2 linked regions of the Rattus norvegicus genome follow. The protein of the gene in region 2 interacts with the protein of the main gene of each other region in a biochemical or structural test. Links are inferred from orthologs where the notes say so. Each region holds a gene or a part of one and is shown on either strand. Other genes may lie near its edges.

Region 1 (3,655 bases), on a different chromosome or scaffold from region 2:
TTACGTGAGCTAGATGTGGGTAGCATTTTCACATATGATGCACACAGGGGTTCAAGATGGAGCTGACCTATCCTCACCCACCTAGGTCTGCCTAAGGCCACAGTGGGTAGATTTTTTTTCCTACCTACTGTGAGGTAAGAAAAAGGAGAGGAAATGTTGTGGTTTGCCCTGAAGTTATCTGTATTTTGATGCTAATTCCACTGCCCCAAGGACAGCTGCCTTGCCTTGTCACTACTCAGAACTCAGGTGACTTCACCAGAGCCACCTCCCCATTGAATTTGTAAAGTACAGGTGAGGGGCAGGTACAGGATAGAAGGAGGCCTGTCATTGGAGGAGAAGGAAAGATGGGCGGGAGAGAAGTTTGAAGGAAGAGGAGGAGACTGGAGGAGGAGAGGGTGAGAAGCCATGGCAGGTGACGTTAAGATTCTGCTCTGTGTATTTACAGGTTGTTATCAATGTTCCTAAGGGATCGAAGGTACTGGGCTTTGTATGTTTAAGTGGGCAATTACATCTTACCAATTGGGTCAAAGATTATTGTGTTGTGTGTTCTTTTATGTGAGGGTTTGAGTGTAGGAAAGTGTGCGGCTGGGATGTGTTTCCGCCAAGATACCTAGCAGATATCTTGGGGCACCGCTGTGCAGACCTAAACGGGTAAAAGACAACTCTACTTTTTATTTACATATTTTTACAACAACAAGGAAAGGCCCCCAGGAATGCCTGTCACACCAGGCTTTGCCTTGTTTTCCCTAGTGTGGTGCTGAGGAAAGAAAAGGATGACCTACAGCATCCAGGCAGGTGTGGAATCCCAGGTAACCCTTGGTCCTCCTTGAAAACCAGCCGATGCTGCCGACCCCTTCTAGCCTCAGTTCCCCAAGGACATGAACGTTGAGGAGTCATAGGGAGCCCCTCCCGAGGGAGTCTGGGCAAAAGCTTGCCCCTTGGGATGAGGTAGCTGGGTGGAGGGGGTAGTCTGTGGTGATCTCAAGTCACCTGTCCCTCCCACAGGGGGAGAGTGGCTGAATTAGAGCCAAAATGGTATTGTGTGGATCATTCAGCAGAACCTAAAAATCCCAGATCAGATGGCTCCCTCAGAGACCTCAGGAAAGGGCTAGGAATTCCAGGCAGACACAGGGACCCTGAATTGTGCTTCTAAAACTGGTGTCATCATCCTGCAAGCCTGGCCCTGGTTTGCCCTGGGGGTCAGGGGAAGGAGGGCGTGTTTGCACACACACACACCTGTTCATGATACTCAACGCCCATGCTCAGAGTATTGACGAGGATGGCTGCCATGATGCCTCGGTTGAAGTACTTGCTGTCTACAATGCGACGTAGCTTGCCACTGAAGGATGCCCAGAGGTGGCCTATCCCTCCTGGTTGTGAGGCCTTCCGCAGTGGTGTCCGCCGCCGCTCATTGCTGTGGCCTGGTGTGCCCACTTCATGGGGCTGCTGCACAGGGTCCCGACAATCCCCATGCCGTACATCCTGGGTAAACTCATAGACTCCGTGGGCATCCGAGTCCCCGCTCTCTGAGCCACTGAATTCAAACTCGGGGTCCTCCAGGGCGCTGGCACAATATGGGCAGCTCTTCAGCTCACAGGTCAGCGTGCCAGCCTGGGGGCTGGGCAGGGGGCAAGGCACACTCAGGCCTGACAGGTGGCTAGAGGCTCGGCCTAGTCCTGTGAGGCAAAGGCATAAACAGTTGTGGCTAGGCCACTGCAGCAGTACCCAGGGCCCTGAGACTCTGGTCTCCATTTCCCCTCCAGCACAATCCCAATTCTAGTTTCTCCACATAGAAAGGGGCAGTGTTTCAGAGATAAATAGATACAAAGAAATGGCCTGACAGTTCCTCTTGGGGTCAGCCTGGAGCAATGGGATGAGGGCCCGGAATACTCAGGACCAAGGACCTGCCTTGCCTGGGTCCCCACTCTGCTCAACATGGCGGGGCTGGGTCCTCACCTTGTTCTCCCACCACATGCTGGATCTTCTCATAGGGTCTGGGGCTTCCCAGGCTCAGAGGGCTGTGTACTGCAGCCCCTGGGGCGCCAGCACCTCGTAGCCCCTTGGGTCGTGAGCTGGTGCCACCTTTGCTGTTGACTGTTCCTGAAGGTAGGATGGTGGGGTAGTTCATGGTACCCAAACCTGAGGCCAGCTTGAGGCTAGCAGCAGTGGCTATGGAGTGTGCCACTCGGGCTCGTTCCTGCGGCCCCTCCACGTGGCAGTCAGCATGGTAGATACTGTGCACAGACTCAGAGTCTGGTGGCCCATGGCCTGGGGATGGCGGCGAGGGTGGCGCACAGGCCCTGACCAACCTGTTGTCACCAGCACCTGGCTCTGGGCTGGGCCTGCGTGGGCCACCGTGGCTAAAGTGGTAATGGTGGTGATGGTGGTGGTGGTGGTGGTAGACCAGATGGTGCACTGAAGCTGTACGCCTGCCTGCCCGTCGTGGCCGCCGCCCAGGGCCTTGGCCATGCACGGTACTGCTGGGATCCACCTTCTTACGCCAGCGGCTCTGCCAGCGGGCATAAAGACGCAGGCTACGGCGTTTAACCTTCCGGAAGATGTGGCCTACATACTTGAGGAGCTCCTCGTAGCAGCTGCCGGGCTCTGAGAAGCTGGCCAGAGTGCTGTCGTTGGACAGATAGCGGGCCCGCTGTTCTCGCATCAGCTGGTTTTCCCTTTGCTTTGTCTCTGAGAACTGTGTGGCTATCACCACCAGGCACAGGTTGATCATGAAGAAGGAGCCCACCTGTGGCAGGGTGTGTGTGACTACCAGCACCTCCGCATCCAGCCCAGCCCGAACCTCTCTGGGGACTGGGGCCTAGTCACAATGCCACAGGCACTGATATTCTGGGAAGTGGCCTACTATAGGTACTTTGCAACTGTGTGATAATGGGTCAGGGACCTCCCCTTGGGGTCCTGCATGAATTCCTGATCCTTAGGTTTGTCCTCAACAAGCCCTCCACTGCAGCCACACTGTCCTTTGGCTTTCAGCGGGGCCTTCCCAGACAAGCTCTATGGCCAGTTCTGCCATTGCTGACTCCCCCCTTGTCCCTGCTGTGGGCTGTCTGAGACTACAACTGTATGACATCCCTTTCTTACCGGGGCCCTGCAGGCGGCTCCCTAAGCATCCAGGGATCTGGAAACGTCTGTTCGATGAACGGATAACGTCCTATCTGAGGACCATGGGATATTGGGGGGCAAGATAAAACTACATCTGAGACATGGATGCTTTGGGGGGCTGTGTGTGGGGTGAATGGTAATGGGGAGTCATGGGCCAAAGAAGTGTGCGGTGATGGATGTTTGAGAGACTCCCAGAGATCCGTGTTCACTACAGGGGGCTTTGCTAGGAGATCCCATGTTTGTTGTGGGAATGCTATGCTAGAGGTACAGTGGGGGACGTGGGGGGGCTGGGACTGACTGTTCTGAAGATTCTGAGCCTTGGGCCTAGGGGCCATATAGGTCTCCTCCCATCCTGAGTTCTTCCTTCAACCATAGGCTGAGCAGAAAAGCCCCCTGCCTGCCCACCCACCGAAGCCCATCCCGCAGCTGCCTCTGTACTACTGACAGCACTCTAGGAGGTCCAGAATGTATGAACGTCAAGGGGGAAGGGGCGGGATATGGCTTCCTCTCCCATCAAATTCGGGATGCCCACCAG
Region 2 (3,655 bases):
GTGCTTGCTAGGCAAGTGCTCTACCACTGAGCTAAATCCCCAACCCCCAAGCTGGTCTTGAACTTAAAGATCCTCCTGCTTCTGCCTCCCAAGTGCTAGGATTAAAGGTGTGCACAACACTGCCCGGATGACCATGCCTATTTTATTTACATGGTGATCGGCATAGAGCCAATATCTGGTAGTATTCACTGAATGACTAAATGACTATAGCAATCTCTTAAAGAGAAATTCATATACCTTGGGGCCTGGGTTACCTCAGCTTCAGGCCCAGAACAGCCGCAGAGGCAGGAATGAGAACCTGAAGCTAGTGTGGGGCGGGGTCCTCCCTCACCTTCTGCATCTTCAGCATGTCGATGCCAAAGTGAGACAGGTGCTCTGCCAGGCTAGGGTCCAGGACCATGTCATCCTCGTCGTAAGAGTACACATCTAGAGGAAAAGGCAGACAGTGTGGCAGGGACAGATAGCTTGGTGCTGGCCTATCTATGAGCTCTACCTCCTGCCCAGAGGACAGAGAGACGGCCAGCAGGATCAGCCTCCTGGCTCACTTGAACTAATTGTCAGAGGAAACAGGGTTTAACAGGATAAGGAATTGTGAGTTTCTTTTTTTTTTTTTTTGGTTCTTTTTTTCGGAGCTGGGGACCGAACCCAGGGCCTTGCGCTTCCTAGGTAAGCGCTCTACCACTGAGCTAAATCCCCAGCCCCGTGAGTTTCTTTTTTAACACATGTATGTGTTGGTGTATATGCAGGGGTGCATTCTCTTCCTCTTGGTTTCTGGTGATAGGTCTCCCATAGTCCAGGCTGACTTCAAATTCGTTATATAGTTGAAGAAAACCTTCACCTTTCGATCCCCCTGCCTCCACTCCTAAGTTCTGGGATAGCAGATGTGCACTAGTGCAATCGCACACACACACGCAGTTCAATTCTGGTTCTGACTGTACCCTGCACCATTAGCTAGGCAGCAGGATAGGTCTGGAAAGACAGTCGCAGCACATGATGATGGCTGGGATCTGTGAAAGGCTTTCGTTATATCGGGAACGCATCTAGGTTATTTGTGTCCTATGAAATGGGTAACTGGAACACAGTAATGGGGAGGGCAGGAGAGTACCAGCTCCATCGGGTGTGATGGTGCCCAGCTTAACAGCTAAGGGGTAGCCAGTCTCCCTGTAGTGCTCCACAGCATGGTTGTTGCCCCCGCTGCCATCAAAGTAGCGCCGGCCGCACAGGATGGAGCCATCTGTCAGGTTGAGCCACAGGTTCTCTCTCATGTCACACTTGGAGCACCTCCAGCCACTAGCCCAGGGAGAAGAAGATTAGCTCAATTGTGGGTGGGGTCTACGGGAGTGGCAACGAGAGGGGAGTCTCCAGGCCCCTGTCAGTCCAACAGCCCATCTTCTCTCTTCTGCATCCCTGTACTGTTCATCGCCCCCATATCTTCCTTCTGGGCTTGCTCCCTACCCCCTCTCTTACCAGCTCCCAGACAGAGATGGCCTCTGTACCCCCCTTCAGTGATGGTGCCCCATGACAAGAGGAGCCAGGTCTCACCAGGGAGGGATCCGAGCGGGGTTGTCCAACTGCTTGAGGTTGAAGGCATGCTTAGACACCTGACGGACTTCCCCATCCCAAGCCTGTACCTCCTGCTTCCGAGAGGCTGAATCAGCCGAAAGTAGGGCTTCCACTGCACTGGTCACCTACAAGAACTGAAAAGTCAGCCAGGACCCCGCCTCTGCCCCACTCACCCTGTCACCCGTGGTCTCCTGTTTTGTTAGTACTGTCACAGCAGCCCCTCCTGCCCTACAATCTCTAGAAGGGTGGTAAGATATGCATACCCGATCTCTGACAATGTCGGGAAGCCCCCCCAACCCATCCCGAGCGATCTCCAGGTAATCTGGCAAAATGACAATCTTCACGTCCTCATCATATTCAAACTTGTCCTCGGTGAGGTCAAACCCACCTTCAACACCTGGGTAGGGCAGAGAATACGGAAGAAAGTAGGGCAGCTACCATTTGTCATCGTCTCTCCAGTTTGTCCCCCCGGACTTCTGAGGCCACTGATCAGGCTCAGGGCTGTCCCGGCAGATAGCTCACCAATGGCCAGCCGGGTGGGCTTCTTCCGGGGTGGGTCTCCAGTGCCTGCGCTGGAGTCCTCTTCTTTCTGAAATGAAAAGAGGTTCAGAGGGCCGGGCATGATGGCACACGACTTTGTCCTAGCATTTGGGAGACAGAAGCAGGAGCTCTAAGAGTTCCAGGCTACTCAGTAAAGGGTCAGGACCAGCACTAAGCCTCAGGGACAGAAGGAAAAAGGGAGGTGAGGAGAAAAGATGGTGAACTGCACAACGCAAGGAGGCTGATCAACAGATTTCAGTGACACAAATGAGAGTGTGACAGGAAAGCAAAGGACAATACAGAGTTAGAGGGCTGCTGGCTAGTTTTATGTCAACTTAACACAGCTAGCATTAGCAGGAAGGAGGGAGCCTCAGCTGAGAAAATAACTCCATAAGTTCCAGCTGTAGCAAGCCTGTAGGGCAGCAGTTCTCAGCCTGTGTTTTGTATCCCCACAGGGATCACCTATCGGATATTTGCATTACAATTCATATCAGTAGCAAAATTATAGTTATCAAGTAGTAACAAAAATAATTTTATGGGGGCTGGAGAGATGGCTCAGCGGTTAAGAGCACTGACTGCTCTTCTGGAGGCTCTGAGTTCAAATCCCAGCAACCACATGGTGGCCCACAACCATCTGTAATGGGATCTGATGCCCTCTTCTGGTGTGTCTGAAGACAGCTACAGTGTACTTATATATAATAAGTAAATAAATCTTTAAAAAGTAATAATTTTATGGTTGGGGGTTGTGATGATTTGCATATGCTTGGCCCAGGGTGTGGTACTACTAGAAGGTGTGGTCTTGTTGGAGGAAGTGTCACTGTGGGGGTGGGCTTGGAGACCCTCCTCCTAGCTGCCTGAGGCTGAAGATGTAGAACTCAGCTCCTCCTGCACCATGCCTGCCTGGATGCTGCCATGCTCCTGCCTTGATGATAATGGACTGAACCTCTGAACCTGTAAGCGAGCCCCAATTAAATGTTGTCCTTTATAAAACTTACATTAGCCCTGGTGTCTGTTCACAGCAATAAGACCCTAACTAAGACAGGGGTCATCACTACATGAGAATTGTTGTGGTCACATCATTAGAATCACGGCTGTAGGGCATTTTCTTAATGCCTGGTGTGGAAGGGCCCAGCCTAATGTGAGTGCCATCCCTAGGCTGGTAGTCCTAGGTTCTGTAAGGTTGAGCCAGCCAGTAAGCAGAACCCCCTCCATGGCCTCTGCTTCAGCTCTTGCCTCCAGGTTCCTGCCCTCCTTGAGTTCCTGTCCTAACTTCCTTCAATGATGGATTATGGTGTAGAAGTGTAAACCAAATACAGTGTCAGCCCATTCTCCCAACTTGTTTTTGGTCATGGTGTTTCACCATAGCAATAACCCTAACTAAGAAGAACCCTAACTCAAAACAGACACCTAGTGGAATGAGTCTGGGTGTTCCCAGCCCACACCCTAGCCACTATGCCTACCGGTCGCCGGGTCCTCCGAAGGTGCAGGTAGACACGCTGGCCTGTCTTGTTGAAATGTCTCTCCACATACTGTTTCCCAAATCCCAGGAATG

The links. The genes of interacting proteins can lie anywhere in the genome.
Region 1: the proteins of Usp5 (region 2) and Cacna1h form a complex in vitro, tested with the Homo sapiens proteins (2 studies listed by BioGRID, with this or other methods). The link is inferred for Rattus norvegicus from reciprocal best matches to the Homo sapiens genes USP5 and CACNA1H.

The regions. Positions count from the first base shown.
Region 1 is NC_086028.1:14,909,739-14,913,393, forward strand, and holds part of Cacna1h (voltage-dependent T-type calcium channel subunit alpha-1H), read right to left. Parts: intron 3,174-3,655; exon of another isoform or gene 3,100-3,173; intron 2,747-3,099; coding exon 1,957-2,746; intron 1,677-1,956; coding exon 1,237-1,676; intron 1-1,236.
Region 2 is NC_086022.1:159,314,449-159,318,103, forward strand, and holds part of Usp5 (ubiquitin carboxyl-terminal hydrolase 5), read right to left. Parts: coding exon 3,564-3,655; intron 2,153-3,563; coding exon 2,086-2,152; intron 1,961-2,085; coding exon 1,827-1,960; intron 1,689-1,826; coding exon 1,543-1,688; intron 1,291-1,542; coding exon 1,106-1,290; intron 427-1,105; coding exon 332-426; intron 1-331. UniProt on the Homo sapiens protein: Deubiquitinating enzyme that participates in a wide range of cellular processes by specifically cleaving isopeptide bonds between ubiquitin and substrate proteins or ubiquitin itself.